Linked DNA regions of Cricetulus griseus. The protein of the gene in region 6 purifies or fractionates together with the protein of the main gene of each other region. This does not show direct contact. Links are inferred from orthologs where the notes say so. Each region holds a gene or a part of one and is shown on either strand. Other genes may lie near its edges. The genes, in order: Hnrnpu, Polr3c, Prmt1, Phf10, Mta2, Kpna2 and Kifc1.

The links.
Region 1: the proteins of Kpna2 (region 6) and Hnrnpu purify together in Homo sapiens (affinity purification with mass spectrometry; 3 studies listed by BioGRID and IntAct, with this or other methods). This does not show direct contact. The link is inferred for Cricetulus griseus from reciprocal best matches to the Homo sapiens genes KPNA2 and HNRNPU.
Region 2: the proteins of Kpna2 (region 6) and Polr3c purify together in Homo sapiens (co-immunoprecipitation; 3 studies listed by BioGRID and IntAct, with this or other methods). This does not show direct contact. The link is inferred for Cricetulus griseus from reciprocal best matches to the Homo sapiens genes KPNA2 and POLR3C.
Region 3: the proteins of Kpna2 (region 6) and Prmt1 fractionate together in Homo sapiens (co-fractionation; 3 studies listed by BioGRID, with this or other methods). This does not show direct contact. The link is inferred for Cricetulus griseus from reciprocal best matches to the Homo sapiens genes KPNA2 and PRMT1.
Region 4: the proteins of Kpna2 (region 6) and Phf10 purify together in Homo sapiens (co-immunoprecipitation; 3 studies listed by BioGRID and IntAct, with this or other methods). This does not show direct contact. The link is inferred for Cricetulus griseus from reciprocal best matches to the Homo sapiens genes KPNA2 and PHF10.
Region 5: the proteins of Kpna2 (region 6) and Mta2 purify together in Homo sapiens (affinity purification with mass spectrometry; 4 studies listed by BioGRID and IntAct, with this or other methods). This does not show direct contact. The link is inferred for Cricetulus griseus from reciprocal best matches to the Homo sapiens genes KPNA2 and MTA2.
Region 7: the proteins of Kpna2 (region 6) and Kifc1 purify together in Homo sapiens (co-immunoprecipitation; 4 studies listed by BioGRID and IntAct, with this or other methods). This does not show direct contact. The link is inferred for Cricetulus griseus from reciprocal best matches to the Homo sapiens genes KPNA2 and KIFC1.

The regions. Positions count from the first base shown.
Region 1 is NC_048598.1:15,817,551-15,822,090, reverse strand, and holds the start of Hnrnpu (heterogeneous nuclear ribonucleoprotein U), read right to left. Parts: upstream 3,055-4,540; 5' UTR 2,845-3,054; coding exon 2,232-2,844; intron 1,213-2,231; coding exon 1,101-1,212; intron 1,014-1,100; coding exon 940-1,013; intron 1-939. UniProt on the Homo sapiens protein: DNA- and RNA-binding protein involved in several cellular processes such as nuclear chromatin organization, telomere-length regulation, transcription, mRNA alternative splicing and stability, Xist-mediated transcriptional silencing and mitotic cell progression.
Region 2 is NW_023276806.1:59,781,653-59,785,476, reverse strand, and holds part of Polr3c (DNA-directed RNA polymerase III subunit RPC3), read right to left. Parts: intron 2,830-3,824; coding exon 2,749-2,829; intron 2,530-2,748; coding exon 2,478-2,529; intron 2,203-2,477; exon of another isoform or gene 2,064-2,202; intron 1,561-2,063; coding exon 1,500-1,560; intron 1,157-1,499; exon of another isoform or gene 1,132-1,156; coding exon 981-1,131; intron 1-980. UniProt on the Homo sapiens protein: DNA-dependent RNA polymerase catalyzes the transcription of DNA into RNA using the four ribonucleoside triphosphates as substrates.
Region 3 is NC_048599.1:153,870,394-153,874,690, forward strand, and holds the start of Prmt1 (protein arginine N-methyltransferase 1), read right to left. Parts: upstream 2,845-4,297; 5' UTR 2,774-2,844; coding exon 2,738-2,773; intron 510-2,737; coding exon 456-509; intron 251-455; exon of another isoform or gene 151-250; coding exon of another isoform or gene 148-150; intron 1-147. UniProt on the Homo sapiens protein: Arginine methyltransferase that methylates (mono and asymmetric dimethylation) the guanidino nitrogens of arginyl residues present in proteins such as ESR1, histone H2, H3 and H4, FMR1, ILF3, HNRNPA1, HNRNPD, NFATC2IP, SUPT5H, TAF15, EWS, HABP4, SERBP1, RBM15, FOXO1, CHTOP, MAP3K5/ASK1, MICU1 and NPRL2.
Region 4 is NC_048595.1:293,991,347-293,995,156, forward strand, and holds the end of Phf10 (PHD finger protein 10), read right to left. Parts: intron 2,524-3,810; coding exon 2,415-2,523; intron 2,144-2,414; coding exon 1,955-2,143; intron 1,693-1,954; exon of another isoform or gene 980-1,692; coding exon 894-979; 3' UTR 785-893; downstream 1-784. Other genes in the region: C2H6orf120 (UPF0669 protein C6orf120 homolog), read left to right, coding at 1-23. UniProt on the Homo sapiens protein: Involved in transcription activity regulation by chromatin remodeling. Belongs to the neural progenitors-specific chromatin remodeling complex (npBAF complex) and is required for the proliferation of neural progenitors.
Region 5 is NC_048596.1:51,151,970-51,156,527, reverse strand, and holds the start of Mta2 (metastasis-associated protein MTA2), read left to right. Parts: upstream 1-1,680; 5' UTR 1,681-2,133; coding exon 2,134-2,161; intron 2,162-2,434; exon of another isoform or gene 2,435-2,487; intron 2,488-3,651; coding exon 3,652-3,719; intron 3,720-4,156; coding exon 4,157-4,250; intron 4,251-4,558. Other genes in the region: Eml3 (echinoderm microtubule-associated protein-like 3), read left to right, coding at 338-436, 683-813, 899-1,102. UniProt on the Homo sapiens protein: May function as a transcriptional coregulator. Acts as a component of the histone deacetylase NuRD complex which participates in the remodeling of chromatin.
Region 6 is NC_048600.1:119,940,843-119,944,666, forward strand, and holds part of Kpna2 (importin subunit alpha-1), read right to left. Parts: intron 3,730-3,824; coding exon 3,461-3,729; intron 3,123-3,460; coding exon 3,028-3,122; intron 2,939-3,027; coding exon 2,675-2,938; intron 2,379-2,674; coding exon 2,145-2,378; intron 1,875-2,144; coding exon 1,692-1,874; intron 1-1,691.
Region 7 is NW_023276806.1:232,112,965-232,117,510, reverse strand, and holds the start of Kifc1 (kinesin-like protein KIFC1), read right to left. Parts: upstream 2,860-4,546; 5' UTR 2,713-2,859; coding exon 2,701-2,712; intron 1-2,700. UniProt on the Homo sapiens protein: Minus end-directed microtubule-dependent motor required for bipolar spindle formation. May contribute to movement of early endocytic vesicles. Regulates cilium formation and structure.

The DNA.
Region 1 (4,540 bases), on a different chromosome or scaffold from region 6:
AAAAAAAAAATCCAAATCAGCTGTTTTCTCCTCTCTTTCTTCAAGACTTAACTGACAGAAAGCAGCCAAGTTACATTTAACTCTCAGGACTCTGAACACAATGTGTATAAGTAAACAAGGGAATACAAGTTTTTAACCCTTTCTAACATGTGAAACCCTTTAAAACTCTTTATTCAAGCACCTTTTGTTCTGCTCACACCAAGCATTATACATCCCTATCAAATACTAAACTAACAAACTTCTTGAAAGGATCAAAATACAAATCTGACAGCTAAAGCCCATTTCATGGCTTGCAATACTTCCTCATACTCTAAAGTAGCATATTTACAGCGCTGCCATTGATACCATTCGCTGCTGAAGAAAGCTAGTGGCTCAGATAGCCCACTGCTGCTGCCCCAGGTCTTTGGAAGAAATCAACTTATGTTAGAGCAGCAGCTACTGAACTGGAATTGAGAACAAAAGAGCAGTTATTGAAAAGGTAATATGACAATCCTTAGAATAGGGAATGTACTTGTGCGCTAATGGGAAAATCGTTAGTAAGTATTCAACTAGCCCAAATAGCTCACTTAATATAGTAGCTCCACAGAAAAATTTTAATTTTCATATTACCTATCTAAGGACATGTTACAGGCAGGTTTTAAAAACAAGTTTCTGAAAGCTGAACAAAAATCGGTATTAGTTTTACATCCCTAAATATTGGGAACTTCCATGACATAAGTATCAATTAGTAGAGCTTGTAAAAACAGCAATACAACTGAAGTGTCGCTAAACATAAAACTACTGTAACCTGAACATGAGCTATTATCTTCCTGATTTAAAACAATCTAACGGGTTTTCTCCACTTTAAGATATACAAACACACTTTTCCTAAGAGTTAAACCAAAATAGCACTGCACTTAAATATTTGAGAAAAAGAGCGGGAAAGTTTGCTTCACTTACAAGTATCAAGACAAACCACTGTGTCATCGAAGTGTTCGTCTTCTTCTTCAACAGGTGGCTGAGGAGACTTGGCTCTGAAAGACAGAATCGTCTCCTGATAAAGCTTTCCCAACCACGCATAAAAACTGGGTGACAAATAAAACTAGGTTAGGATCCTCTACCTGCTGTACTTGTTTTCTTCAATGTACTCAAAATATCCTCGGCCATGATCTTCTCGCGGTCTTTTAACACCTCTCTTTTTATCTCCTCCTTTCTGTTCTGTTTTACCGTCTCCTATAACGACACAGAACACAGCCTTAAATCATCAGGCCACAGACTGAATTATAGAGAAAAGCTCCCGTTTCTGTTCCGGGACTTTTAGGGGCTGTTATTTTTTCCCTCCTAGACTGGATCTCGGACTTTTTTATTTTTGGTTTTTCCAGACAGGGTTTTTCTGTGTGGCTTTGGAGGCTGTCCTGGAACTAGCTCTTGTAGACCAGGCTGGTCTCGAACTCACAGAGATCCGCCTGCCTCTGCCTCCCGAGTGCTGGGGAAAAAGGCGTATGGCACCAACGCCAGGCGAGTTCTGAGACTTTTTAACCCACGAAACTAATATGAATCTAGAAAAAATCGTATCCATCAGCCTGGAACTGCACTGGAGACGGTGACGCAGTCTAAAGACGCTGCTAATCCTGCCAGCCTAGGGTAACCTTCCGGAATGCATTTAAGGACTAAAACCGCGCGCCCGCCGTCCGGGCCCACGTGCTGCGCGCCGTGCGCGCGGCGGCGGCGGGGGGTGTGGGGGGGAGGGCAGGGCAGCGTGGGCCCGCCTCCCCTCCCCCATCCGAGCCCGCGTGCCCCGCCGCCGCATTGTACTGAGCTTCCGCCTCACTCCCCGCGCCCGGCGCCTCCCGCCGGAAGTGACGTCACACCGAGCCCCTGCGCTCCTTGCACAATACCGCGGCGCTGAGCCGCCAAAGCCCGCCCGCCCCGGGACCTTCCCCCTCCCCCCAGACATGTGCCCGAACCGCGCGCACGCAGCGCTCCAGCGGCCGCCGCTCCCGCCCGGCTCCTCCCCCACCGCGGCAGCTGCAGCTCCCCCCGGCGCCCGACACACATAATGGAGGAGGCGCCGCCGGCATGGCGAGCCCATCCTCTCGGCGGCCCCGGGGCTCCCCCGCCCCCCCCGCCCGCCCGCGTCGCTCGCCCCTGGGGCCCCGGCCGGCCTGGGGCACGGTCCCCACGCGGGCCTACAAGCCGCGCGCCCGCCCGCCCACCACGCAGCCCTCACCCGCCGCCTTCCGCCTTCCTACCTCCGGCCTGCGGCTGGCCCTGCCTCGCCCCGGGCGGCGCCACCGTCACCGCGAAGAGCGAGGTGGGGCCGCTGCTCTTGCCCGCGGCCTCCTTGCCGGCCCCGCGCTGCTGCGGGGTCTGCGGGGCCGCCGCCGGCGGTTGGGACTGCTGCTCCCCGTGGCCGTTCTCGTCGCCCGCGCCCTCCTCCTCGTCGCCGAGCTCGTCCTCCCCCTCCTGGAAGCCCTGGTCGTCGCCGTTCTCGTCTTCCGACGCCGCCTCCTCCTCCTCCATCGCGCCCGCGTCAGCCGCCCCCGCCGCCCCGTTCTCCTCGCCCAGCTCCATCTGGTCGCCGTCCAGGGCGGCGATGCCTTCCTCCTCCTCGTCGTCTTCGGCGCCGGTCGCGGCCTCCTGCTCGAGGCCCGTCCCCGAGCGCCCGGCCGCATCGCCGCCCAGGTCGAGGCTGCCGTTCCCGGGCTCCATGGCGGGGCGGCCGCCGGCCTCGTTGTCCAGCGCGGCCTGGAGTCGATCCATGAGATCGGCCTTGAGGCCCTTGTCGGAGAGGCGCCGCTTCTTGAGCTCCTCCTTCAGCTCCGACACCTTCAGCTTCTTGACATTAACAGGCGAAGAACTCATGGTGAGGGCCCCGGTTCACCGCGGACTGCTGGCTCCCTCGGCCTGTGGCGGCGGCTGCTGGTCGGCCCGGGCGGCGGCTGCGGCTGGAGATGGCTGAGTGCTGCAGAGCGGACCCGCCTGGTGTCGAACGGCGCCAATTCCTTTCACCGAGTTCGCGAGGCAAGACGCGGAGACTCGCCTGGCGCGAGCGAGCACGCAACGTCCTCTCGCCGGGGCGGCGCCGCGCACGTAATATAGGCGCCCCGCCCCCTGCCGGGGCGGGGCTCGCTAGGGCGGCTGCGCGCGCAGGCCCCGCCCCTTCCCCGCCCCGCCCCCACGGGGCGACCTCGGCGCTGGGCCCCGGCGCGCAAATGGAGGCTCAGGAAGCCGCCTTTCGGTTAAACCGACTGGCCGCGGCGGCCGCCGGCCTTTCCGGCTTCTCGGCGGCCGCGCTCCACGGGCCGTCCGCCTCCGTGGGCCCGGAGGAGGCTCCCCTGCACCCGCCCTGCGTCCTCATCTGGCATTTCCCGCTGGAGGACACCCTCCTTTCTTCCATCTTAGTTTGTCTTTTTTTTTGTCTGTCCCTCCGGCTCTCGCTTTAAGACTCCGCCAAGTTTCCGCTGCTGCTCCGCAGAGCACAAATAAGCGGCTGTTAGACAGAGGTGGTTTTTTGTTTTGTGTTTTGTTTTTTTCTTCCTCCACTTCATTGCAGTTTAATTTTTTACAAGCCCTGCCTTGCCGATCGGACTTTTTAAGTTCCGCAAGGGCGAGGCCCCAGCGTTTCTTTTGTCTCTTCCATACCCGGTGGTGCAAGGCCTGGGGAGGCGCAGGCTTGCCCTACCGCTCCGTGCCGCACGGCATGCAGTGTGGGCCTTGTGCACTTCTCACCGTCTTTACTAGTGACCCTTGAGTAACCCCTAGAATTGCATGGAAGATTCCCCTAGACTCACTGTAAAGACAGGCCTCTTGCAGGAAGGACTTCCCTTAGTTAACCATGAGAGGGACATCCAGCTAAATTTTAATGCACTTTGATTCTCCCCGTTTTTTCAGACACACACTGAGTTGTCTACACACTTGCAGTCCTATCTCTTGGCAGACTGAGGCAGAAGTATCAAGAGTTGAAAGCCAGCCAGGGCTACATAGTAAAGTCCAGGCCGCCTTGGGCTGTATAGTCAGACAGACCCCATCTCAAACAAACAAACAAAAAATTGTTGCTATTTTTCTCTGTAATTAAAAACATGTTATGTTCTTGAAACTTTTAGGTAGAAATAGAATTTATTTTCTGCACGGGCCATTCTGTGTAGATTGTGCCTAATAGGTGTGTTTATACAGGTCTATAATTACAACCCTTGGGAGATGCAGGCAAGAAGATCAAGAATTCAGTCAGCCAGGCAGTGGTGGCACACACCTTTAATCCTAGCACCAGGGAGGCAGAGGCAGGCAGATCTCCCAGCTCCAAATATCCTGGTGTACAGAGCTATTTCCAGGACAGCCAAGGCTAAATAAAGATGCCTTGTCTCAAAAAACCAAAAAGGTTGTGTGTGTGTGTGTGTCATCTTTGGCTACATAAAGAATTTAAAGCTAATCTGGGCTACCTGAGACCCTGTTTCTACAAAACCAAGTACTCTGGCAGTAAAGCTATGGTTGGCCCTGTCTTCTTTCTGTGCATCTGAAACTTGAAAGCATAGAAATGAAGTTTATCCTATTTGGCTAATAT
Region 2 (3,824 bases), on a different chromosome or scaffold from region 6:
TTGGAACTGGCAAAGTAAACACCCATCCACTGGCACAGTCAGCCCTCATGTTTACTGACACTTCTTTCTTCCCTAGGCAATCAATAGTGATGTTTATGACATAATCACCACATGAAGCAGGCTGCCTGGCTTCCTATTTTTCTATCAGCATCCTGAAAGAAAGGAAAGGCTTCTAATATTTACTGAATAAACTCTACACATGCCAGGAGGATTGTATTTGATTTTCATAATACCTTACTTATTAATAATTGAGACAGTGTAACACTGCATAGCTATGATGGCCTCAAATTTTCAATCCTCCAGCCTTAGTTTCCCAAGTACTGGGTACACACTACCACAGTTGGCCTAAACAACACTGTTTTTGTTTGTTTGATTTTTATTTATTTTTTTTTTTGGTGTTTTGAGACAGAGTTTCTCTGTAGCTTTGGAGACTGTCCTGGAACTCACTCTGTAGACCAGGCTGGCCTTGAACTCAGAGACCCTCGTGCCTCAGCCTCCCAAGTGCTGGGATTAAAGGCAAGTGCCACCACCACCAGGCCCTGCACTGTTCTTATCTCATCATTCACCACCATTTTACAGACATGGAAATGATGGTAGTTGACTTGCTTGGTGAATTGATCCATTCAATCTGCTTCCTCAACAGAGTTCCCCAACATAAGTTCTACAAGGGTCCAAGATACGCTGAATGAGTTATTAAAGATTTAAGGCTCTCAGAAGGTCAGGAGTAATGGGCTGGGGGCTGAAAAGGGCAGGAAAGTTACAGCCTAGAGCTGATTTCTTGGTGTGCTCTGCCTGTCTCTCTTACTAGGCCAGATAAACTCTACATGATTCTTCATGGATTTGCTATGTCTGTGTTAATCCTTTTTTTCTGTTTCAGAGGTGGCTGTAGTGTCTGTCTTGGGAACCCAAAGTAACTTCCTTAGGAGGTTTTCCTGCCTTGGTCAGGCTTGCCGCTCGGCAGGCAATAAAGCTGTGGCTACCTGGAGTGATATGAAGTTCTCTGAGAGCATCTTATACAGCATATCCTTTGCCTCCTTTGCAGGAATCATGGCAAAGTCCTCCACCTGCTTCTGCTCCAGGTGTTTCTTCTGCAATACCAGACGGAATATTCTGGCACAGCGAGACCCGAATCTGGGAAGGAACAAAGAAACACATGGTATATTTATCTCAGAGTGTGGATGTACTATTCCATATGTGGGGTCAGGAGCAGAGGGGGACAGCAGTCAAGAGTCCTTTCATAGCTTCAGAAGTTGGTGATGGCACTGTTAATCATAACTTGTCACCAAATGCCCACTCCTTTGAGGGCCACGGCTCTTGTATTACAGAGCTTTAGGATGGCTGGTTAATTTACTAACTAGGAATTAGTTTTACAGAGAAGAATAGTTTCACTGGAAGATGAAAGTGTGCATGGCAAAGTATACCATAAAAACCAAATTACCTGTTAAATGGCGTGCGGCTAGAAAGTGTTTGAGTCCAACCCCAATCAGAGAGCCTCTTACCTCTCCTGGATGACAGACTCCAGAGTCGCGGTGGCTAGGGAGGCCAATGCCTTATGGAGGTCTTTATTGTAGAGGTTAAGGGCATTCAGTAATGTTTGGCCTGGTCATTGTGACTTAGTTTTATGACTAAATTCCAAGTTTATAACTAAAAATTAAATAATTTTTGCTCTTCACAATTCATGTATAATATAAGTATATTAACATTTGCAAGGATTTTACTTAAGTAAACTTATTTCTTAATTTTACTTTATGTGCATTGGTGTTTTACCTGTATGTGTGAGGGTGTCAGACCTTGGAGTTACAGTTGTGAGCTTCCATGTGGGTGCTGGGAATTGAACCTGGGTCCCCTGGAAGAGTAGTCAGTGCTTTTAAGCACTGAGCCATCTCTCCAGCCTCTCCCCCCTTTTTTGAGACAGTATCTTACTATGTATCCCAGACTGACTTTGAACATTCAACTTTTCTGTCTCGGTCTCCAAGCTGCTCTGATTATAAGCACTGACCATCATACTCCCTTTCCCCAGCTCTCTGCCTCACCTCTCCCACCTTCTTCTTTCTCTGTTGCAGGGCTGCTGGTCTGGCCCAGAGCCTTGTACATTGTGAGTGAGGCGCTACCGAATGATGGCAGTCCCGGGCTGTTTTGATTTTCATTAATGTAACTCACTGAAAGTTCACAGAAAATTAATAGAAAGTTATTTCAACTTTTGAAGTTGTTTAGTTATATTAGGGATCAGAAAACTCCTTTCCTGGGGTGGCACATGCTTCTAATCCCAGCACTTGGGAGGTAGAGGCAGGAGGATCAGGGGTTCAGTGCTAACAACTAGGCTACACAGTGAGTTCAAGGTCAGCCTGGGCTACATGAGACTATTTCAATGAAAAAAAAAAAAAAAAAAAACAGAAAACAAAAAACAATCTTTTCTAGGTCACCCTTCTGCTTCCAAACTCAGGGGTTCTGACAGAACAGACAATTGACAAGGATACTGATGACATACATTCCTCCACCACTGTCGCCAGACTTTCCAATAAACTCTAGCTGTAAAAAAGAAAGAGTAAATGATGTTAGTTGAATGTAAAGTCCAGTGATTCTGCTTGCCGTGGAGCAAATCTGGCCAAGCATCTGAAGCAGGTAGTTTCTGCTGAATGATGGGGACTTTGTCTGGGATGCCTAAGTAGACAAGAAGGCTACAGGAGAATATTAGGATTTAGTGGCAGAGATAAATTTTAACTAGACCAAGAGGGTGAGGAGACTTACTGGGTCATCAGCCAGCAGTGTGAGGTACTGATCAAGGACTTGCTTAGAGATGTTATAGCTGCCAGGCAGGGACCTGAAGATCTGTGAACAAACAGAAGAGGATTCTGGAAGTGGGGCCTGGGAATGCAGAACTGCTAACACGACTGAAACCAGATGTCCTAATGTTAGATTTCAAAACATAAAAATGTCTAAAAATATTCATATATCATTGTTTATAAGAGTAAAACAAAGGCCAAGGGGGTGAGCCTCTTTAATCATAGAACTTGAGAGGCAGAGGCAGGTGGATCTCTGAGTTTGGAGCCAGCCTGGTCTACAGAGTGTGTTCTAAATAGTCAGTGCTGCATAGTCAGACCCTGACAGAAACAGAGTAAAATAAGAAACAACCCAAATGTCTACTAATAAGTAATTAATTAAAGGAAAGTACAACCAAGTACAGTGGTGCATATCTGCAGTTAATACCAGCTATCCCAGAGGCTGAGACGGGAAGACTGTGGGTTGTTGTGTAGCCAAAGTCTCCAAAGTTAAACTTTCCATTCCAGAGGGAGGCTCTTAAGACTCTGGAAGCTAAAACTTACAAGGCTCAAGAAACTCATGAAATTTACAAGGGTCAAATTTACAAGGGTCAAAAACTCAGAAAGCAGGGCCTTTAATCATAGCATAGGGAAACAGAGGCCAGCCTGGTCTACAGAGCAAGTTCCAGACCAGGCCCTGTCCAAACAAATCAACCAACTACAAAAACTTAGAAATAATATAAAGTATAATAACAAGACTTAAGTAAGTGTAATTATAAAAGTAATAGAAATGTAATGTCTAAAATGCTAAGGCTTTCATGAGAAAGGCCAGTCTAGCTTTGAACTCCTGAACTCAAGCAATCCTCAGCATCTTTCTAAACAGGTAAAATTCATGCATGTGCCAGCACACCTGGTACTTAGATTCTTAAAACAATTAGAAATATGTTGTACTTGACAGATATTTAACTATAATAATGGCTTAACACTTTTTTTGAGACAGGGTTTCTTTGTGTAGCCCTGGCTGTCCTAGGACTTGCTTTGTAGACCAGCTTGGCCTTGAACTCA
Region 3 (4,297 bases), on a different chromosome or scaffold from region 6:
CTCTTCAGAGGTTCCTCAACCTGCAAGAAGGCCCCTCTTCAGAATGGGACAGCCCTACAGCCCCCTCCGGCATCTTTCTTCCCAAGGGACGGTATCCACTTCAGAACCCACCCAGAGCACCATCCAGGGAGCAGCCGCCTCGCCTACCATCTCTCCAGGCTCTATGCCCGTCTCTAGCTCAGCCCACAGCTGGGGAGGGAGGGAAGGGAGGGCAGAGCCAGGGCAGACACATTGAAAGCCAGAGGAGGAGGGCTGGAGATGGAGTTAAGGAAGCAGCCATGGTTCTGGGGGAGCCAGCTTGGGCCAGGAAGGGGTCTGTCCTATGTGTTTAGGGGCCACAGCAGGGGAAACTGGTTTGAAGCAAGAGGATGAATAGACCTCCTGAGGAGCCAGGTGCATATCAAAGTATGCTTATATGCAAGTGGGCTGGGGGGGTCTCACAAAAGGATATTTACTTCTTCAAGAGGCGGCTGGAGGCTCATCCCATTAGCCAAGGTGGCTACAAAATTCTAGGAGAGAGTAACAGGGAAAAAGGGTTAGCTACTGGGGTGGCTGGGGAAGGCCTTTGGGGCAGTGAGTGTTTTGCAGGTTGGCTTTTCCTGGGCATGGGAGTGGTGTAAGCAGGAGCAAGCAGTGTGGCTGCAGTTGTGTAAGGAAGGGATACAAGTGGGGAGGGAAAGGAAGGTGGGGTCTCCTGTCCCAGCTGTTGGCTGAAGAGATGGTGGCCCGCCCCATGTTGTCCCTCTCTGGTCAGATAACTGGCCACACATACCTACCCTATCTAGGCCAGAGGGCCCAATACCTGCCAAGGCACATGGGCACTTTCAGCTGTTGCTCCCCTTCACTACCTAATCCCCCCTAGATTAGGTGACATTTCCTGACAGACACACCAGGCTGAAGTGCCATGAATAAACCGGAGGGGGCTGACAGGTAATGGGTGCTGGGCACCTGTCTGCCCCATCACAATCCTGTCTCCTGGCCAAAGATCATTCCAATAGAGAAATGTGGCATACCCCCACACCACAGTGAGTACACCACCCCAGCTCCACCCGGGCAAGGAACACACAGAGCAAGGCTCTTTGTTTTACCTGCCCCCGGAAGAGGGCTGCCCCCCAGGAGTACAAAATATGCCTTGGAAAGCTGGGGCAAGCTGTTACGATAAATATTTCTGCCAAAATCCGCCTGAGCCCCACCGCCACGTGTGAGCTTACGAAAGCCCCCCCTTTCACACCCCACCTTGGTCCCCACACTGAAAACTGCCCTCTTTTTCCTTTGTCCACAAGTGCCAGGCCCAGGGTCACTTCAGTGACACTGTAGGCGAACTGATCCCCATGGCAGGTGTCCCAGCAACTGACCTTCCTCTCCAGAGAACTTGAAGAGGTATGGGTACCACCAGATTATATCCCATCATTATCCCATTAGATAGATGACTGCTATCTAAGGCCAGAGAGGCCACGATCTACCACCTCAGGGGTCGGGTAGCCAGTGGGGGGAGTTCCCATGTGGGCCTCTCTTTTTCAGTAGTACAGATACCAGCAGGTTAACAACTGACTGAAGAGGGTTTGTTCTGTTTCTGGCTTTTTTTTTTTTTTTTTTTTTTGAGACAGGGTTTCTCTGTGTAGCTTTGAAGCCTGTCCTGGAACTTGTTCTAATGGGCCTTGAACACACAAAGATCCGCCTGTCTCTGCCTCCCGAGTCCTGGGATTAAAGGCATGCACCACCACACGGCTTCCTGAAGAGGGTTTGAAACCTGAGACTAGGAGAGGATCTGATTTACAGGCCTAGTAGTGAAGTCTTTCACGAGAGCTACCCGGAAGGCTTAAGCAAAGATGGCAAGTTCAAGGCCAGCCTGGGCTACAGGGTGAGTTCAAGGCCAGACCCACTTTGCATCAAAGTTAGTAAAAAGTGGACTGAGGAATACAGCTCAGGGGTGGAAACACTCAACTGTAAGCAAATAAGCCAGGTGCTAGAATTTGATTCTGTTTTGGGGGGGAAATTAGGCAAAGGTGAGAATCCTAAAAAAGGGGTCGGGTGGGGGTCAAGGCCCCTTGGTCTGCGTGCCTACATAGCCATCCAGCCCCAAGACCGACCTCTGACCATCCACCCGAGGGCGCTTCCATGAGGGGGTGGGCTTTGGGCCACGCCCCATGAAAAAGAGCCCCTTTCACAAGCCCATAATGACCACGAGGGGGTGCCCGGCGCCGGATCCGGATCTCCTCGGTGGAGATGCCCCACCATCCTCTAACAGAGAGGTCACAGGGCTCTGCCCATCCCCCCCCAACCGCACAGGGGTAACTCAGAGTGGAGGAAAGTGAGGTCAGGCCCCACGAGGGTGCACGGATGTCCACCACCCAGCGGACAGCAGGACGCAGGTGGCACCCCCCAGGACCCCCGGAGTGCAGCCCAGGTCACCGGGCCGGGGGCGGGGCCTTTGTCCCGCACGTGGAACCCGCGGGGCCCCTCGAGTGGCACACCCCCCTCCCCACGCTACGCTGCGCGACCACGTGCGGCCCGGCTGGACGCGCCCCCGGCCCGCGACCACGTGCGACGGCCCTCGACTCGACTGCGGGGTCCGAGAGTCCCATAAGCTGGGGTCGCCCCGGTCACGATTGAACACATCCCCCGATGCGGACCTCCGCGAGGCCCAGCACACCCAAGGCCCCGTCTCCACAGTTCAGGCCGTGGGTAACCCGTCGTCCTCCCCCTACCCACTGGCCTAAAGAGCCCAGCTACTCACCTCCATGATGCAGTTCGCGGCCTCGGCTGCCGCCATCTTCACCCGAGTCCTCCGGCCTCCGAGACCCCCCCCTTTCTTCTCTCTCCCCCCGGCCGGGGACCGCCTTTTACCAGAGGGTCCACCGCCCGGCCCCCGAGACCCCGCCATAAGTTTCCAATGGCTGGCGCAGCCGTCAATCTAACCGCCTCGCACTGCAATTGGGCGCTGAGCACGTCTATCAAAATTCGGGCGCCCTCCCCTCCTAGCGTTCAAAGGACCACCCCCTCCTGTCGGCTAGGAAGGGAACAACTGTCTGTCTATCTTAGGCAGCGCATGTGATGATTGGAGGATATCCCACCAGGTCTTCCCGCCTCCTTCCGGCCAGCTCCGCCTTGAAGCTTCCCGGCGGGCTCCGCGCTAAGCGGATGTCGAGAGACTCTGCTGTGGATCATTAAGATGGCCCGCCTCTCCGTCGCCGCAATTAGCTGAGCAAAACGTGACGTTGCAGGGCTCTTGTTCCAGTCCCTTCGAGAGACTGGCCAAGAACGACAGGGACCATTGGCCCACAAGGAGGTAGGCGGGGCTTTGGGCGGAAGCGATTGGCTCCCAGGAACATCAGTCATCAACGTTCGGTGGCTTCTCCGGAACTGGGGCGCGTGGGCGAGCTAGGGGAAAATGCCGAGTCGCTGTGAGTAGATGTGGAGGCGTTCTCATCAGGGGTCCTGAAACTTGTCAGGAGTCGTAGTGAATGTCAGTGCGATGAGCCATAACCTTGTACTGGACTGTGCCGAGTTCTGAAGACCTGTGGCCTCCTAGTCCTTTGCATGAAACACCCATCTCCCTTTGTTTGGCCAACTCCCACGCGGCAATTTGGACTCCATCTCCTCCAGGAAGTTTCCCTGGATCTGCAGAAAGTTACTCCTGGCCTGAAGATGGATGCCAATTGCTGGGTTTGTGCCCCTGCCTCTTACCTTTTGTCCCACCAGTACTCGGCCCAAGCACAGGGTCCTTTAAGTTCCCAAATGTGCCTCTCCACTCCAGGCCTCCTCGTGCTCAGATGACCTTCTTCCTTCCGACTCCTAACACTGTTTAGTGTGCGTGTGCGTGCGTGTGTCAAGTCTTGAGCGGCAAGCACTGCACCATCTGCTGCACACGTAAGGTATCTGGTGTGAGGCAGAGTCTCATGGTACAGCCTGCCTTTGTCTCCAAAGTGCTGGGATTTAAGGCTTGTGTAAACTTCTTCCAGCCAGTATGATTTTTCTTTTTGTTTTTTCGAGACAGAATTTCTCTGGCTGTCCTGGAACTCGGAGATCCTCCTGTCTCTGCCTCCCAAGCGCTGAGATTAAAAGTGTGCGCTACCATTGCCTGGTTCAGTATGATTTCTTGATTGACTCCTGCCTATCCTGCTACTTCATCCCAAATATCAATAGCCTCTGGGCTTTTCCCTCCAATTCCCTCCGTCAGTTTTGTCAATCCCCAAGGCCTTCAGCCCTAGTGCTCCCACCTGCCAATCCCTGCAGCTCATCTCTGCCTATGGCCTTTTTGGGCCTCCCTGCACCCCCAGGACAATGTCTCAATCCT
Region 4 (3,810 bases), on a different chromosome or scaffold from region 6:
TGGTGCTTGAAATTCTCTTCTGAATCCTTATCTGCACGGAGCGACTAGTTTGCTGTGGACCTTGCTACTTGACCTGGTGAAATTCTGGTTACTTTTTTTCTAGACTAGGATGGAAAAATAAAGCCATACAGTTTTGTTACCTCAGTTTACTCCCCACGCAGGAAAAGCAGCAAGCACAATTATTTTAGAGATTAAAATTCCCATAAAAAGGAGTCTGCTCAATAAAATGTTTAAATACATTTTGGTTAGTCAGGTGAGTAAGAAGATTATTGCAGTAACAGGCTGTATAACTCAGATAAAGGCTGGTGACTGTAGAATGTATTCTGTAGACATACTAAATGGAGTACGGCACTTGCAGTTTTAAAGAGGTTCTAAAGCCAGGTCGGAAAAGCTTCCCAGAGCCACTGTGCACAGTAGGGATTGTGGAACCTGATACTCTCCTGGCAGGCAAGCATTTACACATTGTTGCTGTGCCAGCTGGTGACTATTCCAAATCCAGTTGTACCAGATGGTTGGGCCCTCTGTCCTTTCCTCTGTTGGCCAGATTGGAGTGCTCTGGTTATTAAGTAACTGATACTACCTAAGCAGGTCAAGACAGTCTCAAAAGACTGTAACTTTTCAGACTCAAGAAGAAATATTTCAAATTAAGTTGCTACCTCTTTCTGCTGATCTCTGGAAAAAGACAGCACTAAGAGATTAAAATCTGGGAAATGAGACATTTCTCTCTGACTTTTTCTTTCAAGGGTATGAGTTGCTACTAATGAAATAAATCAACTTGAAGATGTTTAAGGTCATAGTTAATTTCAAAAAAGGTTCTTTATTGGCATAAAAATGAAAGTGTAAATAAAATGGCACCAGATATCCCAAACTGAGGGTCAGGTCAAAAACCTATTTTATCCCTCTTTGCTGTTTTTTCCCCTTCTGCCCACTTTCCTGGGTGTTGGGGGAGCTCGCTGACAACAGTCACAAATCCAGCGACCTAGGAGAAAAATTGTTAGTTAATATGGAGTGGAATTTTATTTTTATAGGACTGAGTACAAACCACCTAAACTCATTCCTGAGCTGTCCATAGTGATAACTCTCTGGGATTTTTTTCAGTGGGGAGGGAAGTACTGAGCTCCTTAAGCCAAGGGAGAAAATGTAAACAACCCTTAATCAGTGTAACCAATACAATTCGGAATTCAATGCACAGACAAGATGGGGAAAGGGCACAAAACAATCATTTGTACCTTAAAAAAATATGTAATCCTAAAATTCAAATACCATCATGCTTTTAAAACCTCAACAACACAATCCTAATGTAGAACTTGTTAATGGATCTGGCTTTGTGTGGCCTGTTCCACTGTTCTGACACTAGCACCTGCACCACACACTTGAGCTGAATTACTGCAGAACCTGAGTGATTATTCACATCCTTACGGAGGGATTCCAGGAAACTGAGTTTTATAGAGAACTATACAGTGTTAACTATGCAACTTAAGTCCTTAAAATTGCACAATTACCTGTATAATGTTTCAATAGGATTACTGTGATTTACTATTTGATTCTGTGTCCATCCTAAAGTTTTCTGGAATTGTCATGCTGCCTCACTTTATAGGAAGATGTCTTAGTATATATATAAAGGCATAGCAGTCACTTTGTTAAGTTTCTAAATAGACGAACTTAAAAATAAAATGAAAGCATTGAAACAAACTGGTGGTGTTACTTTAGCAATTTTAGTAGAAAACACCAGCTCATTCTATCCCTCAGACAATACTTCCAAACCTAACCTAAGTATTCTATTTCAATTCTCCTTTGGTTGCACTAAGGATGAAAATCAGGTAGCTGTGACATGGACAGTAACAGCTTGATCATAATTGGAACATGTTCATGTCATTTATACAGCCTTAAAAGAATGCTGGGAGATCTTCATCACACAAGATAATGGGCTTTTTTGTATTTTTTTCATCTTTACCTGATGGAATAGCACCAAGGCCCACACAAAAAGTATGATAACCTCTGTCACACACATCACAGAACATCATTTCTTCTTCATGGTGGGGCTGTCCACATATAATGCATGTCTTACATTCCATACACTGCCATGGGTAGGTCTTAATTATAGAAACAAGCTCCATGGTCATATCCAAGCAAGAAGGGTGGCCTAAATCAAAACCAACATTAATAGGATTTCACAACAGAACTTTCAACTTAAGGCACATAAAACATTAGTTCCCAAGAATGGCTGCCAGGATTAATGTTACCATAGACACATCAAAATACAAAGTAGCAGATACATGGGTTCTGACTACAGCTAACAAGTCACTATTCATTTGCTGACTCTTTGGTGGATACCTAGCTGATAACTACAAACCCTAGCTTTTAAGGCAATATGCAGGGGTGAGGTAAAATCTTAAGGAGACATCTCTACTTACCACTGTTATCACACTGGGAGCAGTGTATAAGTGATTCAGCCTTTCCTTTCTTGTTGGATTCCTTACCCTTCAGACAAATTCCACATAGAGCATTTGGAATGACCTTTGGCTGGAAGGGTAGAAGAGGGCTATAAATTCATGCCAGAAGAACTCACTATGGGTTCAAAAGGGATTCTGTTATTACCTTATCTTTACTTTTGGTAATCTGATAATGAAAACCTTTTTGTAAGACATAACTGGATATGAGATGGATCAGAATATAAAACCCCCAACTAATGAAAGCCTAGACTGTACTCCATAAACCGCATCAACGTGTGTTGCCTAAATGTAGCACTCTGCTCCCTACACACACAGCATCATCTCTATAAAAAAAGACCAGAAGGAAAAATGAAATAGGATGTCAAATGCCACTAATAGTTGGGAAAGAAAATCCATATACCAAATAACCACACATAAAGCTAAGCCTAAGTTTTAAGCTTATATTAAGCTTATGTTCATTTTATTTCAAAAACTGGTGTTTTTCCAGTGATAGAGCTAAGCCTACAAAATCTAAGCTAAAAAAAAAAAAGACACTATTTCAGTATTTTAATTGGAAGCTGTCTTGTCCATACATTGTCATGCATAAATGTCTATAGAAATCTGAGTTGGATGCATAGTCTTGTTCCATGTCTAAAAAGAACTATGATAAAAGAGAGAAGCAGTCACTGTGACGTGTAAAACATAAAAAGTTTTTGGGCATGGAAAAACTATAGTCAAATAGGAAATATACAAAGCATATTTTGAGTATTATCTTTCACATTAAAAACACACACAGTATTTGGGCTTTAAACATGGAATGGGATAAAATATAAGGAGTTTCCTACACTTACAATGCCAGGGCAAGGAAGGGATAACAGAGCATCATAATCTTGACCGTCACGGACGCTGCTCACATGTACTATATATAGGTGTGCGTCAATAAATGGTTAAAAGGTGGGAGGGACAAAGATGGTAGCAGGGCAATAATCTAACACAGTCAAACGCATTGCATCTCTTTCCTGATGCACCATAGAGATCTAAACTCAAACTTTTATAAAGCAGTCTCACTTTAAATGTTCCACTGCCACTTTCGTACCTTGTCAAACCTAAATAATAATTTGCTTTTACTTTTTTAAAAATATTTTCTTTGCAAAAGATGACAGAGGCATTCAAAAACAATTTTTGGCTTATTTATTTTTTTAAAAAAGTCAACCTTATACATAAATATGATAAAAACAATATCTAAACAATCACAAATGTCTCTACAAAATAATAAATATCATGGAGTTAAACAAACATATAAAATGTCCCCATTGACTGCTCTCCATCCTCTGTGTATTTTATACCCTGCTCTCCCGGCATCTGACAGCAGCTGTTA
Region 5 (4,558 bases), on a different chromosome or scaffold from region 6:
TCCAGTGCTGGGATTAAAGGCATACACCATCATGCTGGGTGTGCTTAGACTATCTTTCTTTCTTTCTTTTTTTTTTTTTTTTGAGACTGGGTTTCTTTGTCTTGGCCCTTGGCTATCCTAGAACTAGGTTTGTAGACCAGGCTGGCCTTGAACTCACAGAGCCTCTATCTCCAGAGTGCTGGGACTAAAGGTGTGTAACAACCATCCTGGCTGGACTTAGATTGTCTTAAAGTCAAACGAAATCAAACTACAGTGAGAACTCAGAAATCACATAGTGAGGTTCATAATGGATCAGGTCACCTTCCCAGCTGAGCTGGTTGGGGCAATTTCTACCTAGGGGACGTGGCTGGAGGCTGCAAGCTTCTAAGGAATCGCTATGAGAGCAGAGACCGGGAGTGGGCTACCTACACCTGTGTGCTAGGCTTCCACGTGTATGGTAAGTAGTGAAGCCAGCATGCAGCCGAGCCCTTTAGCAGGGCTGGGAAAAGAAGGTGGAACCCATTCTTGGATCAGAATGTTGGGTGTGTGTCATGTGTCATGGCGGGGGGGGGGGGAGAGGCAAATCCAGGCCAACAGGTCCCTTTGGGAATGGAGAGGATTGTCTGGAGGTAGCCTGGAAATCCTAAGCACTGCAGCTCTAGGTTGTGGAAAGTGCCCTGGCTGAGGCTACCTGTTGTGTTAGGTGTGTGGCCTGATGGCTCTGATGGGACAGACATCAACTCCCTTTGCCGCTCCCACAATGAACGTGTGGTGGCTGTAGCAGACGACTTCTGCAAAGTACACCTTTTCCAGTATCCGTGCGCTCGAGCCAAGGTGAGTCTTTAGAGGACCGTTGGGCCCCAGTGGGTAGTCTTGGGACCCTATCACTGCTGTGACTGTACATTTTTTTCTGGTGCAGGCGCCAAGCCGTATGTACTCAGGCCACGGCAGTCACGTGACTAGCGTCCGGTTCACGCATGACGACTCATACCTCGTCTCCCTAGGTGGCAAGGACGCCAGTATCTTTCAGTGGCGAGTGTTGGGCGCTGGGGGCTCTGGGCCCTCTCCTGTCACGCCTTCTAGAACTCCCTCTCTGTCCCCTGCCTCCTCCCTGGACGTGTGATGAATGCTGGATGGTTTTGTCCCTCTGGTACTGTGGCCTTGCCCCGCCCTGGCCAAAACCCCTAGGACCAAGTGCAGCCCTTTTCCTGGGCTGGCTTTTTCTTTGATTTCAGTACATTCCCAGTTGCGCATTTTCCTGGAGGGGCGAACCGCCCCATTGCACACACGATAACGACTCGCTGGCTGAACCAGGCAACCCCAGCTCTGACTCCCTTTGCCTGGTGAGGGGCAATAAAAAGAAAGAAAGTCACCGCTTGGTGCTTTTGTGGAGTGCGGCGGTTGCCTCAGGGGCCCGGTAGGGTTGGGATGAAAGAAAAAAGTGCAGGGCGGGAAGGGAAAAAAGGAGCTCGGACCAAATATGCAAATAACAGGCAAAGCGGCTTGCAAATAACCTCAAGAAGCGCGAGGGTGCGCGCGCGCCTTGCGAGGCCACTGTCGGAGCTGCAGGGACACATAGAGTAAAGAGTTAAATGCGGCTCCCTGCCGCCCTCGGGGGCGGGGTCGAGCTGCAACGGAAATAACCGAGCGCGGGGCCGCGGCTGAGCGAAAAGAGCCGAGTTCCTTCCGGAAGTGGCCGATCTGCGGGGTCTTGCTCTCCGACCTGAGCCGAGCGCTGGGCCTTGTTCTCCGGATCGGCCGAAGGTGTTCCGGAAGGAGGCGAACCCGGACGCGGGCAGGGCAAACCTTCTCAGGGGCTGGCACCATACGGCGTCTGCTGGGACTCGGTGAAGACGCTAGGAGCCGGAATCTGTCTCCGGTCAGGCAGGAACCGAGCTCGTTCCGGAAGAAGCCGAGCAGACCGGCGCCGGCCTGGGTATCCCGGGCGTGAGGCTATAGCAGTGTCGTCGTGGTCTTCGTGCGAGCAGTGATGAACCGCGACGGCTGAGCGAGCAGAGGTGCCGGCTGCGCGGGCCCCATCGACACTTCCGCGAAGCGTCAGCCCCACGCTGGGGGCATCGTCTGGAGCTAAGCTTTACCCCCGCGAGCCTCCGGGTCCTCTTTGTGCGGCCGGAGGCCGCGGCGGGAACGGCCATGGCGGCTAACATGTACCGTGTGGGAGGTGAGTACACCGGGCGGAAGAGGTTGGGGACGGGACCAGGGAGACTCGGTGTCCGCAGGCGCGGGGAGCAACATCTGGGGTCGTAGGGGCCACAGCGCCGACCGGAACCGGAACCGAGACCTATGGTTCCGCGGCGGCGACGCTACTGGGAGCCGAGTCTCCCGCAGAGGCTTACCTACAACGATCGGTGCTCTTGAGTCTGCGACTGGATCCCGGGGTGGGAAGTAGGCTTGGTTTGGAAGGGGACTGAGTGACTGCGGGGCCAGCTGCGGGGAGCCAGTCGCTCAGGGGTTTTCTTTTCTTTGGCGGCTTGTTCGTTCACGAAGGTGAGGCCTGAGGTGGGGGGAACAATTTACTCAATTCTCCCACGCAGGGGTGCAACTCCAATGCAGAGTTGTGTGGACTACAGGGAAATCCTTGTTATCTTTTTCCCCCTCCTCTCTCACTTCTTGGTTTTTCGACTCTGTCTGTCTGTCTCTTTGGTTTTTCGAGACAGGGATTCTCTGTAGCTCTGGCAGTCCTGGAACGCACTCTGTAGACCAGGCTGGCTTCGAACTCAGAGATCCTCTTGAGTGCTAGGATCTGACTTTTGAGTGAGAATCTGATTTTAGCGCTAAGTGTTGCAAGGGTGGGAGTAAAAACTTTTCTCCCTCCCCCCCCGCCCCCCCCCCCCGGCTGTCTTAGAACTCAGGAAATAGACCAGGTTGGCATCGGACTCAGATCCACCTGCCTCTGCCTCCCTCTGCTGGGATTAAAGGTGTGAGCAATCACTGTCTGGATAATTCTTTTATTTCTTTTCTCGTTCTTTTTTTTTTTTTTTTCCTCGAGACGGTTGATACTTATTTTCTTTTGTTTTCTCGAGACAGGCTTTCTCTGTCTATCCTTGGCTGTCCTGGAAATTGCTCTATAGACCAGGCTGTCCTCGAACTGGAAGAGATCTGCTTACCTCGGCTTCCTGAGTGCTGTTGGCCACCACTGCCCAACTAATACTTTTCTTTTGCGGGGGTGGGGGGATGGGGGGTGGGGTTCGAGACAGAGTTTCTCTGCGGCTTTGGAGGCTGTCCTGGAACTAACTCTGTAGACCAGGCTGGTCTCAAACTCAACAGGGAACCACCTGCCTCTGCCTCCTGAGTGCTGGGGTTAAATGCATGCGCCACCACCTTCTCTAATACCTATTTTCTTTTCTTTTTTTTTTTTTTTTTTTTGGTTTTTCGAGACAGGTTTTTCTCTGTGTAGCTTTGGAGCCTATCCTGGAACTCGCTTTTGTAGACCAGGCTGGTCTCGAACTCACAGAGATCCACCTGCTTCTGCTGGGATTAAAGGCGTGCATCACCAACACCCAGCTATACTTCTTTTCTTAAGTCTTTCCTCTTGCACATCTCCACATCTCTACCTAGCATTTTGTCTTTTTTTGGTCCACCCAAATCCACTTTCTCTTCTGGGTGCTCTGGTTTTCTTCTGATCTTGTTTCTCCCCACCCCCTTCTACAGATTACGTCTATTTTGAGAACTCCTCTAGCAATCCTTACCTGGTTAGACGGATTGAGGAGCTAAACAAGGTGAGTGGAGCAGAAATGGAGCAGTTTCTTTCTTCTGGAGTCTAACTCCAAGTGGAAGGGAGAGCCAGCCTTACCTAGGCTTAGAGCCTATACAGGTGAGCGAGCGTTCATTCCATGTATAGAGCTGCTGAGAGCTTAGCTGAAGCTTTATCATTCTCACATCTGGGGATAAAAGAATCCTGTCTCTGTTGTTTTTTTTTTGTTTTTTTAAATATACAGTGTCTATTTTGCAGCCTTGGTTGCCTGGAACTTTCTGTGTGATCAGGTTAGCAAACTTATGGAGACCCATCTCATTGGTCCTGTAATTATCTTTGAATATTAAGTCTTCATTGCTGAGTTTTTGGCCTCTTCTACTTAAGTCCTTAGAGAGTGCCTGTTAGTGTACCTCCACTTTCAAATGGCTAATTTTCATTGCCCTGTTTTTCTTCCTTCTTTAGACTGCCAATGGCAATGTGGAAGCAAAGGTTGTCTGTCTCTTCAGGAGAAGGGATATTTCTAGTAGCCTCAACAGCCTGGCTGACAGTAATGCTAGTGAGTGTCTTCATTCCTTCCCCTTTCCCCCCTCCCCAGGATCTGAGGACTAGACTTGTTCCTGCAGGTGTTTCCCCTGGTAACACGCCCAAGGCAGGGTATGAGTTTGGAGGTGGGAAGTGCCTGGTCTGCAGAGCAAGGCCTGTTGTTACATGTTGGGGCTGGGGCTGGAAGCCGGGTGGGGAGACCATGATCAGAAAAGCCAGAATGTGGTGTGTGTGTGTGTGTGTGTGTGTGTGTGTGTGTGTGTGTGTGTGTGTGTGTGTGTGTGTGTGTAAGGAGAGATACTTAGATAGGGAATGAAAAGA
Region 6 (3,824 bases):
TCATTTCTTTAAAAAGCAGCCAGGCACAAGGCTATATTTCTCCTTTAATCCCAGTGACTGGGAGTTAGAGCCAGGCACATGTCTAGAAAGGCTCAGAGTACCCACTTGTTCTTGCATAGAACCTGGGTTCAGTTCCCAGCACCCACACAGTGGTTCACAACTGTCTGACTCTAGTCACTCTCTCCAACTCCTCGGATACCAGGCATGCATGCAGGCAAAACATTCATACAGATAAAAAACAAAAAAATAATATATTAGTCTATGCGTTAATTATATAAAGTAAGATTCCTTCCAAACAACTTTTTTTGTTGTTTTCAAGACAGGGTTTCTATGAAGCCCGAGCTACCCTGAACTTGCTCTATAGAGAACAAGAGATCTGCCTGCCTCCTGAGTGGTATGATTAAAGGCAAGTAACACCCACCCTACCTGGCATCCAAATTTTCAACTTTTTTTTGTTGTTTTTTTTTTTTTCGAGGCAGGGTTTCTCTGTGTAGTTTTGGAGCCTGTCCTGGAACTAGCTCTTGTAGACCAGGCTGGTCTCGAACTCAGAGATCCACCTGCCTCTGCCTCATGAATGCTGGGATCAAAGGCGTGCACCACCAACACCAGACCCCAAATTTTCAACTTTTAACTGATTCCTGTGAGCAGGAAACCTGGCCACATGACAAAGATTTACATACATGTAGGCATGAAACACCAGTGACTCCTTTCTCTAGACTCAACTTTCTTTTGTAAAAAGTTCTAGTTTACTCTATAATCTAGACTGGCTTGGAACTATGTAGTCCAGGCTGGTCTTCAACTCATCACAGTCCTCCTGTGTGCTAGGATTTTAAGTGTGAGCTACCAATACCAACTTACACTCAACTTGAAAAGTTCCAGAACTAGTAGAAATACTATCACAAAATGTCAGATGCTGGCACACTTGAAATCAAATAGGGATAGGGCTGGGGGGCGGGGAACGACACTTATTTCAATTAAATCCCCAGGTGGAAGTGGCACAGGCCTCTAATCCCAGCATTCGGGAAAGATTAAAGGCAGAGGCAGGCAGATCTGAGTTTGAGGCCAGCTCGATGTACAGAGCAAGTTCCAGAACAGCAACGGCTACAAAGGCAGGCAGGCAGGAGCACCAAAATACAAAATCAAACCATGGGACTAGTGAGGTAGTTCACCATATAAAACTGAGTGTGGAGTGTGGTGAAAACCATGAGAGGTGGAGGCAATAGGCTCAGAAAGAAATTCAAGGACATCTCCAGCTATATAGGGAGTTCAAGCTAGCCTAGGCCACTTGACACCTTCCCATCCTTAAAGGAGCTAGAGAAGTGGCTCAGTGAGTGGTTAAGAGCTTTTTTTCTTGCAGAGGATGTGGGTTTGATTCCCAGCACCTATGTGGTCAGCACACCAGTATAACTCCAGCCACGATCCACATAGAATTTTTCCTTCTTTCTGAGACAGGGTTTCTCTGTTGAGCCCTGTAGACTAGGCTGGTCTTGAACTTACAGAGATCTGCTTCCTCTGCCTCCTGCGCCACCACTGCCCCACTAAGAATTCATTAGTAAATGTACAAAGTAAGGCTGCACATGAACACCCTTCTGATTCTGCAGACTATTAGTAATCAAACTTACCTGTCCTCTCCCCAGTCCTAAATAGTAACTATCAACTCAATTCAAACACACAGCCTTGTTAGGACTTACCTGAAAGATATTTGAAATGGCATCAAGAATAACCAAAATAATTTTGGTATCTTTTGCACTTAAGAGGTTCATCAAAGGTTCTATTATGCCACAATGAACAAGATACACAATCTGTTCAACAGTCCCACCACTGGTGTAGTTGGTTACAGCCCATACAGCTTCCTTCTGTGTCTTAAAGTCTGCCTGATAAGCAAGAAGAAAATGGTTTTAGTTCAGAAACCCGAGAGGTTAGACTCCAAAAGGTAGGGTTTGTTCCACAGACAGAACTAAACTACCTGCTGGTTCTACCCAACATTAGGAGGTGCTTGCTGCCTGTTACCTAACAGAAGCTCGCTGTCCTCAAACTCAGAGATCCTCCTCCTGTCTCTACCTCCCAAGCCCAGGGATTAAAGACATATAGGCTGTCATAAATATTAACAATCTTCTGACTACATCCTACACTCACTTCATTACCTTAGAGAGGACACCAACAAGATATGGGACTAAGCCATGATTCACAACTTGCTGTATCTGGTCCTGGCGTCCAGCTGTGATGTTTGACATTGTCCACGTGGCCTCCTTCTGAATATTAGTTTTGGAGTTTGTTAGCAGGTTGGGAAAAACTGCAAGTGCTCCTGCATCTATCACAATCTGAGTCTGTTCATCTGTTCCAGTGACAATATTCCCTATGGCTCTGAGTGCAGGAGTCTGAAATAGAAAAAATGTTGCTGCAGATTAGTTACATGGTATTATTCTTCCAGGCTTCTAAAAATTCGTTCCCCCCCCCCCAGACAGGGTTTCTCTGTGGCTTTGGAGTCTGTCTGCCTCTAACTCAGAGATCCGCCTGCCTCTGCCTCTCGGTGCTGGAATTAAAGGTGTGTGCCACCATCACCCTAAAAATTCTCTATTCAAAAACTTCTACAAAAGTCACAGGCAGTATCAATACTACCAACTGATTATGCTCTTGTACTATTAAAGCTCGTAAATAAAAGGTCAGTACTTACCACAATTGGCAACTCAGTGGCTCCTAGAAGCTTCACAAGTTGGGGCACAACTCCTGTCTTTACAACCATTTCAATCCGCTCATTTGGACCATCAGTCAAGTAGGAAATAGCCCAGCAGGAATCTGCTAATACTTCTGGGTCATTGTGATGCAGAAGACGAACTAAAGTAGGAAGAATCTGCTCAACAGCATCTAGGGGGGGTGCAGGATTCTTGTTGCGACAAAGGTTTGAAAGTGTCCAGGTAAGGTTGCGTAAATAACCACACTGTGGGGAAGAAAAGTTAATTATAAGGCTCATTTCTGAGTAGATGGGGAAAATAAGAACCAAATACTTTATTTATGGTATTAACTTACTGCCAAGGAAGACAGGTCAGGAATTGCAAGAAGTGCCAACAGTGGGTCAACTGCACCATATTTGATAACTAAATCTCGGAAAACTGAACCATCACCTGAAACAGAAAGCAAGATTAGCTGGTGAACACCTTTAATTCTAGGATCTATTTTTGTGAGTTCCAAGCTAACCTGGTCTACAGTCAGTGGTAAGCAGTGAGACCCAGTTTCAGAAAAAAAAAAAAAAAAAAAACACGATGAATGAGTGAATCTGCTACTGAATGACTGTCACATACTCAATCGCTTCTCCAGCAGCATGGTGAGATGCCTCTTCCCCTCCTAATATGGGAGGGCCTAGAGCAAGCTCAAGGCCCCACCCAGAAGTCACCAGGACCTTTAACAGTGTCCTTTAATCACACTGGCTACATTCAGTCCAAAGAATTTTAAGTACAAGTACCTGCAATGTTTCCAAGAGCCCAAACAGCTTGCTCGCTGATGTGAGCATGGGGAGATGCCAAGAGAGAAATGAATGCTGGGATAGCACCTCCATCTACCACAGCCTTGGTCTGTTCCGACGTTCCAGAAGCAATGTTAGTAAGTGCCCAAGCAGATTCAAACTGAATGGGACTACAATCCGTTTTGCCCAAGAAGGACACAAATTTTGGGATCAAACCAGCCCGAATGATGTTGTCTATAGGAGGTTGTTTCTCCCTAGAAAGCAGTTTCCTAAGGGGAAACAAAAAAAGAAAATCAAAAGTTGAAGTTTATTTCCAAGGTACCTTGAAAATAAAGGTATCTAAAAATCTGTACAACATGGGAAA
Region 7 (4,546 bases), on a different chromosome or scaffold from region 6:
TAACTCCAGGTATCGTAACTCCCCTTTTCCCACCCACCAGGCTAGGGGCTCTCTCCCAGGGACTGACTGGCAACTTGACTTCACCCACATGCCCACAGTCAGGCGAGTTAAATACCTCCTGGTACTAGTGGATACTTTCTCAGGATGGGTAGAAGCGTTTCCTACTACTAACAAGAAAGCTCAGACTGTCTCTAACATCCTTCTCAGGGAAATTATCCCCCGGTTTGGGATTCCAGCCTCTCTTCAGTCAGACAATGGTCCTGAGTTTACCTCTCAGATCTCTCAAACCCTGTCTAAAGCTCTCAATATTCCTTGGCATTTTCATATTCCATACCACCCCCAGTCCTCAGGGAAGGTGGAGAGAACTAACCGTTCTTTAAAGACTGTTCTGGTTAAAATGTCACAGGAACTTCACCTTGACTGGGTAAAGCTTCTGCCTCTGGCCCTTTTCAGGCTTAGGGCTCTCCCTAAACAACCACTTTTCATCTCACCCTTTGAACTCATGTACGGGCGGCCGGCTCTAACACCTGGCCTCTCACCTAAACCCTCGCCTCTCCCTGACCGCTTGCTCACACCTTTACTTCATCATCTCCGTTCCCTCCTTTGGGAATTTGCTGACCACTCTCTACCTCGGCCATGTGCCACCCCCTGTACCTCTCCAATTAACATAGGGGATCAAGTACTTCTTTCTCCCCCAGACCAGAGCCCCTCCCCCCTGTCTCCTAAGTGGAAGGGCCCTTTCAAAGTAATTCTTGTCACTCCAACAGCAGCTAAGCTTGAGGGCCTTCCCCACTGGATTCACTTATCCCACCTCAAGCCCTTTACTTCTCCACCTGAGACTCACCCTTCATACACAGTTTCTACAACAGGACCCTGTTCCCTTAGGTTTCAGAGGACACTGAAATCATCCACTTTACCTCCTATTTCAGAAGAATAAGGCTCAATTTTTACAAGGCTGTTTTCTAATTACACTCTGCTCATTAATTTCCAAAGTATTTCACAATAATTTACTTAGCTGTTGTTACAGGAATGCCAGCCAAAAAACCATGGATCTAAAGATACAAGGATCACCAAGTGTTTGTGCCTTCTGGTTAAAGGTAACCAGAAAGATTTCATACCACCTAGATATGATTTAATATGTCTAATCTTTGTTTTCCCAAACTTTAAGGACTCTTATAAGTTCCAGGGAGCCGAATCAGATCCAAACAGGTCAGATTCACTCCAGGTAATATCCAACCCTTCCCCAGTCCCAATTTCCCTTCCCTCATCTTGGGACTCCTCGGGAACCCCTCCCTCATCTTACAATCTTCCCGTCAAATGACAGGACCTAAGAAAATTTTTTTCTAAACTTAACCTTGTCCTCTATTCTACAAACATCTTGCCAGGTCTAAAAGGCACCAGAGTGGCTCGGACTACAATGAAACAACAATCAACTCCAGGACGTGGCAGCACCCCCAACCCCCCAAAGACGATCAACGCCCCAGGCCAGCAGGAAGCAGCCTTAAGACATCTTCGCCCCTACTTCCCTAACCTGCCACGCCCAATTCTCTAACTTTTATAATAAACAACAGCCGGGATTGTAAGAACAAAACACTTGGATGACCCTAACCCCGCCCCCTAACAAGCGAGTACTCACTCACCTGCCATGCCTTTCGACCTTTGCCCTACTGCGCATATGCAATCTTCCCTTTAAAAGGTCCTGCCCCACACCCCTCACTCTTTTTCTCTCGGCTTCCCTAGGATTGGCTGACTGCCCATCCCCTCTTTCCCCCCTCTCTGATAAATAAACTCCACGTGGGTTGCTTATTCGTTGTTCCTTTCCTTATTAGCAGCTGCAGCTTAAACAAAAGAACAACAGTGACTGACTCTCTGAGACTTTGAGGCCAGTTGGATCTACAGAGCCAGTTCTAGACCAGCCAGGGTAACATGGTCAGCTCCTGTTTCAAACAAACAAAAACCAGAACAACTTTACTGCTGATGAATTAGCAGTAATTCACTCGAGAGCCAGAGGCAGGTGGATCTCTGTGAGTTCGAGACCAGCCTGGTCTACAGAGTGAGTTACAGGACAGCCTCCAAAGCCACAGAGAAACCAGAAACCCTCTCTCGAAAAACAAAACAAAAACAAATATCACTCCAATCAGTGTACAAAAGACAGGACAATTTCCTCTAACCTCAAAAGCCCCTCTCTCCACAGTGTTCTCTGGTAGACACTGCCCTTAGACTGTACTGAGCATCAGATATTTACACTGTGATTCACGGCAGTAGCAAAATTACAGCTACCAACAATGTTATGGGCAGGGGGCACCACAACACGACAAACTATATTAAAGTCACAGCATTAATAAGGTTGAGAACCAGCGACAGAGAGCAGTCTCTGCATTCAATTTATCTCCTAAACAAATCTCACTTCCAACATCCCAACAAAATTGCCTTCCTCCAGCCGGGCAGTGGTGGTGCACTCCTTTAATCCCAGCACTAGGGAGGCAGGGGTGGGCAGAGTTCTAGAGTAGCCTGGTTCACAGAGCAAGCTCCAGGGAGCCGGGGTCACACTCCCAGTTTCATGTTACTGAATCAGTTTTAAATTATGTTTCTTCTGGGTCTTTCCTAGCCATCCACCATAGTGGACGGATTAAAGGCCCTAGCTAACATGGGGTTAGCACGTTAACCAACTGCAATAAAGCCGGGCCCCGCCGCGCTCACCTGCGCCTGCATGTCCACTGTGCTCGGCCCGGGACGGGATGCAAGGGAAGGAAGGGGTCCGGGGCCAGCGACCCGGGGCCGTCGTCCTCTCGCGAGCCCGCGCGACGCAGCCCGAGCAGAGCCTCCGCGAAGTGGTCTGGAGCCGGGATAGCGCCGCACCCGCCACTTTTGAATTTCAACCGCCGCGCCGCGCCGCGCACTCACCGCCGTCCGCGGAGGCCAATCGGCGCCGGCGACACGGCCGCGGGCCAATCCCAGGGCTCCCCGCCCCGGGGCCACGCCCTCGGCTGTGCCGGCCCTGGGATCCCACTTCCGTATCCGCTTTCCCTTGGTGCTTGTTTTTGTTTAAACCCCGCCCTCTCCCCCTCTTTCGCGCCGAGCGCGCTGCACTTCCGCTCGGCTTCCCGAGGCGTCGGCTGCGTCAGAAGCGCGCGTGCGTGGAGGAGCCGGGGGAGGGCGGGTCCGCGGGAGGGAAGGCAACGCGCATGTGCCCAGGCGCCCTGCGCAGCGCCGGGGCGGAGCGAGCGCCACCTAGAGGAGACCGCGGGAAGTGCAGGCTCGTCGCCAGCCCGACAGGTGTGACGTTTGCCTAGAATGCTGAGGTCCCCCGAGTTCAATCGGCAGCGCAAGAGGAGAGATAAAAGAAGGGGGGGGGGGGGAAGCACGAGAAGGCGGAAGATGAGACTACAGAACCGTTGCAGTGTGTTTCCAAATGTCATGCGAAATGGCATGGTAATCCCTGACCTCCCTTCCTGCGCCCCTAGATAAGTAAATGAATATTGTTCGTTTTGTCTGGTTTTTCGAGACAGGGTTTCTCTGTGTAGCCCTGGCTGCCCTGAACTCCATCTGTTGACCAGGCTGGTCTCGAACTCACAGTTCCACCTCCTTCCCGAGTGCTGGGATCAAAAGGCCTGTGCCAGGCTTGGGGAGATGGCTCACAGGTTAAGAGCACTGGCTGCCCTTCTAAAGGTCCTGAGTTCAATTCCCAGCACCCACACGGTGGCTCACAGCCATCTGTAATGAGATCTGCTGCCTTCTTCTGGAGTGTGTGCAGGCTGAACGCAATATATGAATTTTTTTAAAGGCTTGTGCTTAGCCGGGTGTTGATGGAGCACGCCTTTATCCCAGCAATCAGAAGGCAGAGGCAGGTGGATCTCTGTGAGTTCGAGACCAGCCTGATCTACAACAGCGAGTTCGACAGCCTCCAACACCACAGAGAAACCCTGTCTCGAAAAAAACAAAAACAAAATAATAATAATGCGTGTGCCACCACCTCAGGCTCAATAAACAAACTTGTTTAATTATAAAAGTGTAGCCAGAAAAAAAAAATTGCCGGGCGTTGGTGGCGCACGCCTTTAATCCCAGCACTCGGGAGGCAGAGACAGGTGGATCTCTGTGAGTTCGAGACCAGCCTGGTCTACAAGAGCTAGTTCCAGGACAGCCTCTAAAAAGCACAGAGAAACCCTGTCTCAAAAAAAAAAAAAAAAAAGCAAAAGTTTTAGAGATTAAGAGAGGGTGTACTTTACAGAGTTTAATAAAACCAAGGAAAGGAATGGAAGACAGGCAGCCGTATTCTCTACTGGGAATACTTTGTTTTACCTGTTTTAAAGCACATAGTGTCTTCTCCTGGGCTGTTCTATTTTGCTCTCCTTCTCCCTGTCACAGAGTCAGGTGGCTGCCTGAACCAGGAAAAAAAAGATCTTGGAGGAAACTTCTAAACAACCATGCTTGCATCTGGAGAAAGCAGGCTGTAACCCAACTCCAGTGCCAGCCTTTATAGAGCACAGACAACATGAAACAATTTTTAATATTATCCATACCCAAAAGACATTTGAATTTTTGTAAG